Rattus norvegicus: one gene and its partners. The protein of the gene in region 1 interacts with the protein of each later gene in a pairwise test. Links are inferred from orthologs where the notes say so. Each region holds a gene or a part of one and is shown on either strand. Other genes may lie near its edges.

The links. The genes of interacting proteins can lie anywhere in the genome.
Region 2: the proteins of Creb3 (region 1) and Fis1 interact in a two-hybrid assay, tested with the Homo sapiens proteins (2 studies listed by BioGRID and IntAct). The two-hybrid records come from large-scale screens. The link is inferred for Rattus norvegicus from reciprocal best matches to the Homo sapiens genes CREB3 and FIS1.
Region 3: the proteins of Creb3 (region 1) and Sft2d2 interact in a two-hybrid assay, tested with the Homo sapiens proteins (2 studies listed by BioGRID and IntAct). The two-hybrid records come from large-scale screens. The link is inferred for Rattus norvegicus from reciprocal best matches to the Homo sapiens genes CREB3 and SFT2D2.

What each region holds. Positions count from the first base shown.
Region 1 is NC_086023.1:62,612,167-62,616,505, reverse strand, and holds the start of Creb3 (cyclic AMP-responsive element-binding protein 3), read right to left. Parts: upstream 2,855-4,339; 5' UTR 2,698-2,854; coding exon 2,521-2,697; intron 2,436-2,520; coding exon 2,279-2,435; intron 2,205-2,278; coding exon 2,134-2,204; intron 2,029-2,133; coding exon 1,939-2,028; intron 1-1,938. UniProt on the Homo sapiens protein: Endoplasmic reticulum (ER)-bound sequence-specific transcription factor that directly binds DNA and activates transcription. Plays a role in the unfolded protein response (UPR), promoting cell survival versus ER stress-induced apoptotic cell death.
Region 2 is NC_086030.1:25,346,506-25,350,890, forward strand, and holds the start of Fis1 (mitochondrial fission 1 protein), read right to left. Parts: upstream 2,828-4,385; 5' UTR 2,739-2,827; coding exon 2,694-2,738; intron 1,925-2,693; coding exon 1,792-1,924; intron 1-1,791. UniProt on the Homo sapiens protein: Involved in the fragmentation of the mitochondrial network and its perinuclear clustering. Plays a minor role in the recruitment and association of the fission mediator dynamin-related protein 1 (DNM1L) to the mitochondrial surface and mitochondrial fission.
Region 3 is NC_086031.1:80,034,318-80,038,363, forward strand, and holds the start of Sft2d2 (vesicle transport protein SFT2B), read right to left. Parts: upstream 2,828-4,046; 5' UTR 2,817-2,827; coding exon 2,754-2,816; intron 1-2,753. UniProt on the Homo sapiens protein: May be involved in fusion of retrograde transport vesicles derived from an endocytic compartment with the Golgi complex.

The DNA of each region.
Region 1 (4,339 bases):
TCACCCATGGGATATCATTATATGCCTGTATGTCATACCTTTACATATTACATAGGTGTGTTGGATGGCAGCTAACCTTCCCAATGAAATTCTCTCCACAGCTTTTCTGCCAATAGGCATTCACCTTCTGTGTGGACATCTCCACAGGACACGTGTCCAGCACTTAAAAGCCAGAGTTTTCTTATTTTTATGTGTATAGGTGTTTTGCCTGCATGTCTGTATAATGTATATGTATAATGTGTGTGCCTGGTGCCCACACAGGCTAGAGGACAATGACAGATCTCCTGGGACTGAAGTTACAGATAATTGTGAGCTGCCATGTGGGTGCTGGGACTGGAACTCACGCCCCACGGAAGAGCAGAAAGTGCTCTAAACCACTAAGCCATCTTTACAGCTGCCAATTAATTTAAAAAGTTCCTCCTAAGCTAGGTGTGGTTGTACATGCCTGTAATATCGGCACTTGGGAGGAAGAGGAAGGAGGTCAGGATTTCAAGACCATCCTTGGTTAGGGTAGTTTTCAGGACAGACTGAGTGAACTACAGAAGACTATGTCTCAGAACTAACAACTACCACCATCCTTATCCTAAACCCACATCAATCTTCTAGTTTCCACCCATTGGATTTTCCTAGGCTCTCTAGAATGATATAGAACATCTTTATCTTAAGTACTTTAAACTCTTTTTTTTTCAGAAATTAAAACTGAATAAAGTTAACTCTCATAGTCTCTGATAATGCTTGTCAAACCTGGACAGTAGCCAGGAGTGATGTCATACACTTGTAATCTGGTCCTAGGAAGCTAGAAGCAGGAGAACCAGGAATTCAAAGGCATTCTTTACCTACGACACAGTGTGAGGCCAGCCCAGCCTGGGCTTACAAGACCCTGCCTTACAAACCAGGGCTGGAGGGCGTAGCCAGTGGTAGAGCACTTGGTGAGTATTCCAGAGGTGCTATATTCCAATCCCAGGGGTAGGAGAATTATGGTATGCTTTGGCCAGTGTAAAGGAGGACAAGACAGTTACTGTCCTAGGGACGGAGCCACTATTGATAATTCCAAAACTCCATTTTCTTTCCTATTAACTACTATACTGCTCATTCATCTCGTAATGGCAGGAGAGGGATAGGAGAGGGTTTATCATGTGGGCCAGGCTTGCTTAAACTCAACATGAAGCGAAGTCTGGCCTTTAACTCCTGATCCACCTGTCCCAAATAAGTCAGTACATACATAACAAAAGAAGTAAGACAATAAAAGGGGCACAAAAACTAGATGCAGTATGCTTTCACTTGGGAAGTGACCTTGAGCGTGGGAGGACCTTCCTGCCTCTGCCTCTAGGGTTATGGCAGTGTGAGCCCCTCAAGTCCAGCTTTGTTACAACTTTGTTACAGCTTTGTAACAACTATTGTTGTTAGACTGCTTCAGCCTCTCCAGCATATCTACTCTACCACTGAGCAAAAGGCGAAGTCCCAAGATAGCAACGAAATCTGTCAAGGCCATCATTTGAAGGCCCTTTCAAGGCTCTGTTCTAAAGTTACTCTACATTTAAAAAATTATCTTGGGGCTGGGGATTTAGCTCAGTGGTAGAGTGCTTACCTAGGAAGCGCAAGGCCCTGGGTTCGGTCCCCAGCTCCGAAAAAAAGAACAAAAAAAAAAAATTATCTTTTGTACATGGGGGTCTCTCCTTCCATCACGTGGGTCCTGGGAGTTAAGCAAGGCCTTTTCCTACAAAGCCATACACTGATAATTTTGAAAGGAACGCCAAAATGTATATCAGCGCCACAAGACCAGGATCTACCCTGGTATCTGCTCGTCCCAGGTTCCCACTATCAGCTTCCATTCTGACCTCAGTCCTTTTGTAAGTGATCGATATGAAATAAACTGAGTTTGCCTACTTGGGTTATACAATCCCCCTCCAGCTTTTGCTCTACTACCAGAAGCCTTACCTTAGTGAGAGGAAGTGTTGAGGGCAGAGTGAGCCCCTCCTTCTCCAAAAGCCTTTTCTCTTCCTCCGTCAGTATCAGTGTAGAAAGTTCCTAAGGTTGGAGGAAGAGAGCAGAGTTGCATGGTGATGTCAGAGCAGTATGGGGGATTCTTGGCCGCTGCAAAGTGAGGTAATCCTGAAACACCAAGCCCAGTACCTGCTCTGCTGCTGTCTCCTCCACACGCAATGGATTCATGCGGAACCCCTCCTTTTCAAAGCTCCCAGGATCTGCAAAAGCGAAAGTAGGGCTAGCAAGTTCAGTGAGCTCTCTCTTTCCCCATAACTTAACATTTCACACTCACCTAGATCTATGGAGACGTGCTCCTGTGGAAGGGAATAGTTGTGATCATGGAGAATAGAAGAACTAGAAGAGTTGAGAACATCCGGCGATGACGAGGGACTGAGCAGAGAGCTCAGTAAATCCTCTACCTCCCAGTCGCTCAATTCTTGCACGGAGTTCTAACAAAATCAAAGGCCTTGTTTTATCTCTGTACCTTGGGTCTCAGGGACATCGCTAGCTTCCCCACTCAGAACACCCACCCACCTCGGAAGGCGACAGCTCCAAGTCCAGGGGAGTCTCTATGTCCTGCTCAGTCGCAGCCCACAAATCTCCACTTTCCTCTAGCAGGAAGCCCAGCAGGTCCTGATCACCAGGATCCAAAGCTAGCAGGTCCTGATCACCAGGATCCAAAGCTAGCAGGTCCTGACCACCAGGATCCATTTGGAATATTTATGGATAGAAACTCCTCTGCGCAGATCCAATCTCCGAACCTTAGGCACGACCCCTCAGTCTGTCAAGTCGCATCGACTTAACCTTAGTCACTCCCGGACCAGGGCCTAGCTGTTACTCTATATGCCACACCCGCCTCTCAGCTTCTATTCCCCTCAGCGTCCAACATAACGGAAGTGATGCACATAGTCCCGTGGAATCCTGGGACTTGGAGTTCCCTCCAACTCGGAAGTGGCTTGTGTAGTGCGCCACGTCCCAGGGGCTATGCAAATTATGGGGATGTCCCTTCAGCTTCCCACGCCCCAGGGCGGGGATTCTGAGGATCCGGATCCGCCTTCGCCGCGAGCTATTAAAAAAACCCTAAGAGTCTAAAAGGGAACTCCCGTTTAGTTCGGGCGTTCTCTCCAGTGCTCTGCACCCTCGCTTCCTGCCGGGGAGGGGCGGCCAGGCTTCGCGGGAGCCCGAGCATCGAGAGCTGCGGCCAGAGCAGCTTCCTGCAGTCTCTGCGACCATAGAGCGGACCGCCGGCGGGTGGGGGACGTTTCCAGGACGGAAGTGGACGAGAGTGTGTCGAAGGGAGGGCGAGGCCGGAGCCCCAAAGCGACCGGGAGAACGAGCGGGTAGCGGGCCCAGGGCGGGGCGCAGAGCTGGGCAGCGCAGGTAGGCCGGACGGGCTGGGCTGAGGTTCTAGGTGGGGCTGCGGGATCAGGCCGGCCCGGGAAGCGGCGGGCGGGGCCCCCAATCCTCTTGCATATCCTGTGTCCGGTTGGGGAGGTCAGGGTACAGTACGTTTCAGTTTAGGTTTGAAATTAAGCCAGCCGTGTTGCGAGAGACAGGCCCTTTTCGCGGGAGTAGACAGTTCTCTGTCTCGGATAGTTTTTGGGACGGGTAGAAATGGGGTGGCAGTGAGGCATTGGGCGGGGATGGGCTTTGGTGTTAGCCGATAGTGAGTATGTGGTTAGGAAAACTTTGGGTGAGTTTGAGTTAGGTGCGTCGGGTTTAGGAAGCAAGGATCCCATTAGAAGTTAAGAAGCTGGACTACATTTTAAACATGCATGAGTCAAGTCTCTTTCGTGTTTGTGACATTTAAACTGAGGTCATTATTTTCTGGAATGACCAGCATAAGTCAGTGTACAGGATCGGGTTAAGGATCAACAACAGGAATTGGCTTAGAAGCTCGTTTCAGGGATTAAAGGCCATTGTCATGGTCAGTATTAAGAATAAACAGTGAGAAGGTGAATTAAGAATCAAGGTAGAAATGAGCTTTAGGACTGGGGAGAGGGGCAGTATTTAGGGTTAAAGTTAGGGGATTTGGGCCTAAAAATAAAAGCCAGATTAGTATGGTTGTGTGCTAGGAAAGGGGTAAGTGTCAAAATATAGGGAATTAGGATACAAAATAAAGTCAGGATTAATGTTAGGAATTAGTGATAGCATCAGAGTCAAGGCTGCAGCTACAGCTGAACAGGTAAAATGTAAGAAGTTGGGCAGCAAGTAGCTGCCTTTGTTTTGTAGTGAGCTCTCTTATTCCTGTGTGATCACAGAGGCTCCTTTTATCCAAAGAGATGACAGAGCTCTGGATGTCAGCTAGAACTGCCAGCATCTGGGACTCCACTTTCTTTACTCTCCTGCCTAA
Region 2 (4,385 bases), on another chromosome or scaffold:
TCACCCCAGCTTTCTAGTCACAAACCAAGGGCAGCATGAGCCTGTCAGACAGCTGCGGTGGAAGGCAGGAACCAGCACCGAGGTCTGCATGGACGGGTGCGTTCCACTGGTCAGCTACAGGTCCCACTGCAAGGCCACCTCCTGCCTGGCATTCACAGTCCCTCTTTTAGTTCATTGTCTTGCTGAGGATGACCTGAGTTTCTGCTCCTCCTGCCGCTGCCTTCTGAGTGGTACAGGACCACGGCTGGCTTATGCAGTGCTGGGAAGGGAATCAAACCAGGGTTTCATACACAGCAGACAGGTATGCTACAGACTGAGCTCTTGTTTTGTTTTTGAGACAGGGATTCACTGTGTAGTCCTGCAGCTCACTCTGCAGACCAGGCTGACCTTGAACACGGAGATCTCCTGCCCCTGCCTCCAGAGTGCTGGGATTAAAGGCTCATGCCTCCACTCTAGGTCCACAACTTGCCCCCTTCTCTTAGCTCAGCTTCCTTGAGTGACCCTCATTCCCGCCCCCTCTGTGTGTCAATATGTGTGTATGTGTATATGTGTGTGTGTGTCCATGTGTGTGTGTGTGTCCATGTGTGTCTGTGTGCCCCCGTGTGTTAGGACAGGGACTCACTATGCTGTCCAGGCTTGGGCACTAGCTGTGCAGAGCTGCAGCCTCCTCAGTGTCTGCACTGTGTCCCCACAGAAGACTCAAATGCTCTGAGGCCACCTCCACTGCTGTGCTCTACTACAGGAGAAACCTAAGTCCTAACTCATCAAAGCAGGGGCCAGCATTTGCTTTTACAAAGACGCCAGAGCTGGGGGCACCCCTGAGTTCCCAGCAGTAAGGTGGCTGAAGCAGGATGCAGAGTCCTGGGTCAAAATCAAAAATGACTAAGGGATAGAGCAGTCTTTTGTTACTATTGTCCCTTGATAGCCTCTGGGGTGATGCCAATGCTCCCCCATTCAAAGTCTATAGCTGGAAGGCCCATCATAAAACTAATATAATCTCTACAATTAAACAGTGTTTGCACAGAACCTACTTGTATTCCCCAAAGATTTTTTTTTTTTTTTTTGAGAGAGGAAGCTTGTGTAGCACGGGCTGACCTCAAATTTGGTCAGTAGGTAGCTGACATGGCCTTGAACTTCTCATCTTCCTGCCTCCATCTCCCCAGTCAATGACTACTGAACTATGTCCCTACGTCTTTGGAGTGCTTGGATCACATGTCCTTGATGCCACCAGCCCTTCAGCCACTTTAAATCTCTAGAACTTTCTGCTATCCAATACAATACAAATGCATAGTAACAGCAACTAGTAGCTAGGCCAGAGCTGTTCTGTTTACTGCGTGTGTGCAAATGGAAGCACAGGGGCCAGAGGACGTCTGGCCTCTTGCTTCCCCCTCCACACCATCCCCCAGAGAAAGGGTCTGACTAAGCATTCTCTTGCTCACTCCAGTGCTACTCCCTACACAGGCACTTATAGCCACACTCAGCTTTTGTTGTGGGTGCTGGGGATTTGAACTCAGGTCTCCATGCCTGGACAGAATGCACTGAGTCATCTCCCCAGCCTGAGAACATTTTTCTCTCACAGCATTTCCCATCTGAACCAATGTTCAGATGCTGAAATTGGGGATGTAGAGAGCCAGCCTGGCCTTTTGCTGCTGTGGATTTTCTGGTGGTTACTGAGGGATGAATGTGTTATAAGGTGGGGGTTCCATGACAGAAAGGGTCCTGGAGGGGTGAGGTCAAGGACAGTAGGGGGCAGACTGGCTAGTGGCTGCAAGTGGGGAGCCAGCACCTTACCCTCCAGCAGCACGATGCCTCTACGGATGTCGTCATTGTATTTGCTTCGAACCAGGCACCAGGCGTATTCAAACTGCGTGCTCTTGGACACAGAGCCAGCTGCCTGCTCAGACTGAAATTTCCTTTCAAAATTCTGTCATCAGAGAGAAGAGCAATCATTTAGAAACAATGGGCATCCACCCACCATTCTCTAGCTATCTTGGAGTCTAAATCCCAGTTAGACCACATTTTCCTATCTGTCACCTTTCCCTTGTAGATCTTGGTACTCGGATGTCTAACTTCTGTCATCTCCATCCCTGTGTCCCATGCTCATGTTTAGAAGGTCCCTGAACCCAGCCCCTAGTGGTACCAAGAGGAGATGCCACCTGGTGGAAGCTGCAGGCATGGCAACCGAACCAGCTGACCTCAAGTGGCTGAAGAGTAAACATATTGTCCCAGAGCTAAATGACCTCCTACATGGCCTTTCAATTGAGGCTGCTAGTCCCGTCCTACTCTACTCTTCGGACCTGGGTCTGCCTTACTTTAATTCTAGGAGAGGAAAGAAAACACAGCTACAAGGATGTGGTAAAAATAGCACCTTGAGGGACTAAACACTAGCGAAAGTTTACACCAGGGACTATGCTACTTCATCCTTGCACGAGTACCCCAAATTCCCAGCTCTGCATCACACGAAGACCCCAGGCCTAGGTCTGAGTTGCCGAAACCCTGGAAACTACAACTCCCATCAGGCTCAGGGACACGGCGCAGATTCCCACAAGAGGCAGGATGTCGCAGAGGCTGATGGGAGTCGTAGTTCGGCTCTCCTAGAAAGACGAAACCGGCACTGTTCGGCTTCGGTCAGCTCTCCTCAGGAACTGCCCTTTCCGATTCTGCCCTCGTCCTTCCTCCGGCCCAGACCTTACCTTCAGATCCTCCACAGACACCAGCTCGTTCAGCACAGCCTCCATGGCTGCCACCCCTGCAAGCCTCACACTAAGGTCTCTACTGGGCCACGGTCTCCATGGTCCAGTAGCAGGGGCGGAGAGGCACTTCCGGCATCGACCTGTTGAGGCCCCGCCCCTTCCTCTTGTGCCTTGGGGCCAGCGGTGGCGCTAATGCCTACGCTGGGAACTTTTGCTCTTTTTGGACTCCCCTGCTGTCCTAGATCCTCCAAGGATCACATTATCCTAGGGACCAATTTAACAACCCCCCACTCTAAGACCCTGAAATATCTTCAATGTTTGCAATAAAAACACAATGAGTACCAGGGGCTGGAGGACCTCAATTTAACACAAAGCAAGAGGAATACACCCCACCCCGTCCCCTTCCAACCCCCCTCCCCGCAAACTTGGGTCACATGATCACAGTGGACAGACACTTTTTTTTTTTTTGTTTTTTTGTTTTGTTTTTTGGTTCTTTTTTTTTTTTTTCGGAGCTGGGGATCGAACCCAGGGCCTTGCGCTTCCTAGGCAAGCGCTCTACCACTGAGCTAAATCCCCAACCCCTGGACAGACACTTTTAATAGGATTCTGAAGAAAAGCTGATGGGCCAGGGAACAGTTCAGGGGTTAAAGCCCCATGGCTCTCTTGCAGGAGCTTGCTCAGTTGCCCGCCCCCACATGGTGTGGCTCACAACTGCCTGGATTCCAGCTCCAAGGGGACCCAGTGCCCTCTTCTGACCTCGTCCTCCCGTGCATACGTCCTCATGCAGACACATATACATACACATAATTAAAAATAAAATACAATTATCCCTTGCAGGGTCAGGGCTTTCGAATATGATTTAGCAAACCCGAGGCCTTCAGCCTGAGGAGAAGCAAGAGGCAAACGCTAATTTCTGAGATTTTCGTATTGGGAGCGATACTGGCTAGTGATTCTTTGGATCTTTCATCTTGACCTTTGGTCACACATGGAATCTAAGACTCATAGCAAAGACTCACACACTTTTTTTTTTGGTTGTACGTTTCTTTTTGAGACAGGGTGTTTCTATGCTGCCTTGGCTGGTCTTTAACTGAGATCTGCCTGTCTCTGCCCCCTAAGTGTTGGGCTCAAAGCTGTATACCACCACAACCAGCAGCATAATACATTTTTGTTGAATAAAATAAGAAGAAAGTTATCACCAATCACCAACACCCTTTTTTGTGTTTGCATGGCTTTAATTGCTGTCTCTCACTCCCCAAGCCCTGTGTGTGCATGCAGACATATGGAGGCCAGAAGTCAGCCTCATACACTGCTCCTTAGGTGCCAACCACCTGGTTCCTTGCTTTTGTTCTTTTTTGACACAAATTCTCTCACTGTCTTTAGTTAAGGTTACTGTTGTTAGGATAACAATGCTATGACCAAAGCAACTTGGGGAGGAATTGGGCTCATGCTTCCACACCATAGTCCATCATCAAAGGAAGTCAGGACAGGAACTCAAGCAGGGCAGGAACCTGGAGTCAGCAACTGATGCAGAGGCCACGGAGGAGCGCTGCTTACTGGCTTGCTTTCCGAGCTCTCTCTCTCTCTCTCTCTCTCTCTCTCTCTCTCTCTCTCTCCAATGAGTGTGTGTGTGTGCGTGTGCGCACATGCGCATGCACTCGTGCATGTTTGTAGCCTTGGCTGTACTAGAATTAG
Region 3 (4,046 bases), on another chromosome or scaffold:
AACCCTGCCAGAACGGAGCTTTTTGCAAAGCTCAAAACGGCTAGAGCGGTACCTAGATAGAATGTGTAGGGGGTGTGCTCCCAAGCTGTCTGACTGGCTGTCACGCACAAAGGTGCCTTTGACTCCAGGATGGAGAAGAAGAGAGGCTGCTGCCAAGAGCTCTAGCTAAGGGCGGTCCAGGGAGCTGAGCCTGGCAACCGGTAAGAAAGGAATGCTGTTTTACGCCTGTGAGGTATGATTAGGCATCCTTCAGGCCTTCCTTGTCCCGAGAACCCCGCCCAGAAAACAGAAAGCCTGTTCTTTCAGAAAGGACTCCACTGAAACCAGGACTTAAGTGTGATTATGACGGCGGGTGTTAATTCAAAGACTCATGTCATAAGGCTGTTTGTGTGTGTGGGTCCTGCCACTTTACAGCTACCTAGGAGGGACAGGAGACAGAAGTTTTCATACTTTTCTTTTTTCTTTTTTCTTTTTTTTTTTTTTTCGGAGCTGGGGACCGAACCCAGGGCCTTGTGCTTGCTAGGCAAGCGCTCTACCACTGAGCTAAATCCCCAGCCCCAAAATGTGTAGCCCAGGCTGGCCTCGAACTCGTGATCCTCCTGCCTCTGCCTCCTTCAGCAAATCCTACCGGCGTGCGCCACCACAACCGGCCATACTTTTCTATTGGCATTAAAATAAATTAGAAAAAATTTTTTAACTTTTCTGATAACCTCTTACAGGTTACAGAACTGAAGAGCCTTGAAAGCAACCCCATCCAGCTAACCACACAAACAGGAATTTAACCACAGAATCCTTCAGTTTTTCCAGGCTCAAAACCATGGGAACCCTATTGGCTACAGAACATTTCCTGGGGCTCAAGACCTGGAAATGGCCACAGGATGACACAATCAACAGGAATCTTACTAGGAAAGAGGAAACTGAGAATATTTCCAAACGAGTGAAGCCACAATCTTTTAAAAATAGGTGTAACATATGCCTGAGTTTAAGTGGAGATCAAAGCCCTTCACTGTATCCAACACAGGCATTCACCATTTAGGAAAAAGGGGGTGAATGGGGAGGGACCACTAGGCGATTTGTTTTCAAATGGGGCTACACTATTCACTCCTGAAAGCCAGCCCACTGCTACAGGTGAACACCACCTCACAGGCAACACTGCACCCTCCACCAGTCTCCCCTAAGACTACCACAGTGTGTAACTTCTACAGAGCTTATCTTTACGTGATAAGAGGGTCAACTAAAGTCTTGGAACATTCTTTGGCTTCATTTCATATGAAAGTTCACGAGAAGCCAGAATTTAAAAAAAAAAAATTAAAACATGAAAATCACTGATTTGAATTTTTTTTTTTTTTGGTTCTTTTTTTTTTTTTTTTTTTTCGGAGCTGGGGACCGAACCCAGGGCCTTGCGCTTCCTAGGTAAGCGCTCTACCACTGAGCTAAATCCCCAGCCCACTGATTTGAATTTTAATGATCATGCAGAGGTTGGGAAGTTGCAGCTCCAGAGCCTAACTGCAACTAATCTTGTGCTATGGTTAGCCCCACCCCCCAACCCCACCCCCAACTCTCAACCCCCCTCCTCCCCCCACCCCCACCTCCACCCCCCCGCAGTCATTTCTTGCCTACCTGTGTTGATGTAACAGTGACTAACCTACCTGTAACTACTAGGGAGAAAAAACCTTGGAATTTATTAACTTAATAAGGTTTTAGAATGCCATCAACCAGCCTCTCCGAGCTACAGCTGAGATTCCTCCACGCTGCCTTAACTGCCTGTTTATGCTTCCACTGATGCGTCTGAAAAGAACCTTAAGTTATTACTTTGTTCTATTACTCTCAGAACTTATCAAATTGTTATCATGTTGGAACACTGAATTTGCAGTAACCTGAATCTGTCCTGGGGCCATGGTGACTCCTATTTTGCTTCAAATTAATTTCTTATTCCCTTTGAGGTGTAGTTGTGTTTTTGCAAACACAAAAACAAAATCAACATAGAAGTGAGTGAAAGCAGAAATGTTGGGAAAATCACAAAAAAACAAGTAAGCATTAAAGAGGAACTCCAATTTCCAAGGGGAAAGGGTTATAGCATCTTGTTCAACAACCTTCTTTCTCAGAAGGGGAAACGGGGACTAAAGGTACATTAAGTAAAACGCAATTCTGTCTTCAAGGAAGGAAATGTAAACCAACTTCCAAAGCACCTAAAATATGACTTTCTGAGTCGCTCTGGAGCACGGGGCCTTAGTGGGCAAGTTTCAGAGCCATCAAAGCTCTACTAATAAAACAAACACACTGGCGATCTCCGGTCTCGCTGGGAATCTATAGTCTAGGAAGTAACCTTGGAGACTCAAAGACCAAGTAGGTCCCTGTTGTCAGGCGTTCAGAGTTTTACAAATTACAAAGCAGTATGCATAAGGTCTGTATCTCACACCCCACAACCTAAACCAGTCCGCGATCCGACCGCGGATCCTTCCACCAAGGCCGCCGGCCTCGCCCAACTCCTAAGGGCTTTCCCTGGCCAGTCGGGGGGGGGGGGAGGGGGAGTCCGGAGGCCCCGGGGCCCACACTCCCACTCCACAGACTTCTGAGGTCTTCAGAGCCCCAAGCCCTTCGGAGGGAATGTTGGGGAGGGTTCGGGAGCCACGCCTTCCACAAAGAGCCCCGCGCTGCCACCTGTGGCTGTGTCCCAGCAGAGCTCGGCGCCGCGGGCGGGAGGAGAGCAGGACAGCTTTCCAAGAAATGCCAACTTCCCCGGCTGCACTCACCTCGGACAGACCGCTGCGGTCCTCGGTGTCCTGGCCGCTCAGCACCTTCTTCAGCTTGTCCATGTCAAGGCTCGGACCGCCGCCTTCGGCGTTCGCTCTGCCGACCACTCTTCCGGGTGACCAGCCACCGCCCCTCCGCCCCTCCGCCCGCCGCCAACCACGACACGCCCCGCCCAGACACCTGCCCACCTGCCCGCCCGGCATGCCCCGCGCCAGCCACGCCCCCTGGGTGAGATCCTAGGGGTCACCTGGGGCGGGGCCGGAGAGTTGGGGTGAGGTCAGACCGGCGATACCTAACTCCAAAGCTGGCTGCGCTCCCGGCCTCCATGGATTCTTTCCAGCGCCCAGCACCACATTGTGCCAGGGCCTGGAAGAAAGCAGGCCTTTTGCAGACTTATCCATGGATGCTGAAGTTAATCCGCCGGTGGTTGAGTGTACACCGCAGATCTATTAATTAATTAATTAATTAATTAATTAATTAATTATAAATATAGATTTTTTTCCCCATGCTAAGTGGAACAAATCAGTGTGCAACAGGCTGTAGCAGCGTATTCATAAAAGCAGGAATTCCTACGTAATTCCTAGGGGAAATGGCTCGGGAGGTATGACTTGGACAATGCCTGAGAACGGATAACAAATGGTGAGAATCAATACTGTTGTGTTCCATAAATGCTTTTCTTTAATCAGTCTGCAGCACTACTGAGGCTATGGAGCAGAATGCATATGAAGTCGAGGGATCTTCCAGACAGGACAGAAATTTGCTCACCTTGCACGCTGGTTGCTGGGGATATCTGGAACGCCTATGTTAAGAGTAAATTGGTTCAGAAAAAGCACTGAGATGTAGCTCAGTGAGAGAATGCTTGCCTAGCTTATATGCAAGGCTTTTGGGTTCAGTTCCCACTACTGTCCCTGCTTCCCAAAAAAGGGAAAGGAAACCACAGAGGAACTTCAAAAACATCTACTAAATCGTGTTACCTCCTCCTCCCTCCGAGACTCGAGAGTGGGAATACTGCAGGGAGAATCCACATATCATCTTTTAAGTTCTCCAGTGTGCTTCTTCGCTGTATAAATACATAAGACCTTTAAGGTGCTGCTGCCTTTGCCGGGGTGCCTCTTACCTGCCACGTTCTCCAGTGAGTTCTTACACATCTCTGTAAAACATCAAACAGTGCCCAGTGCAGAGACCATCCACTGGAGTCTAGAAAATCTGGGAATCGCAACTCCTCTGTCATTCGCCACTTATGTGGCCTTGAGCAATTAGCTCCTCAGCCTTTCTGATCCCCAGCTGTTTTC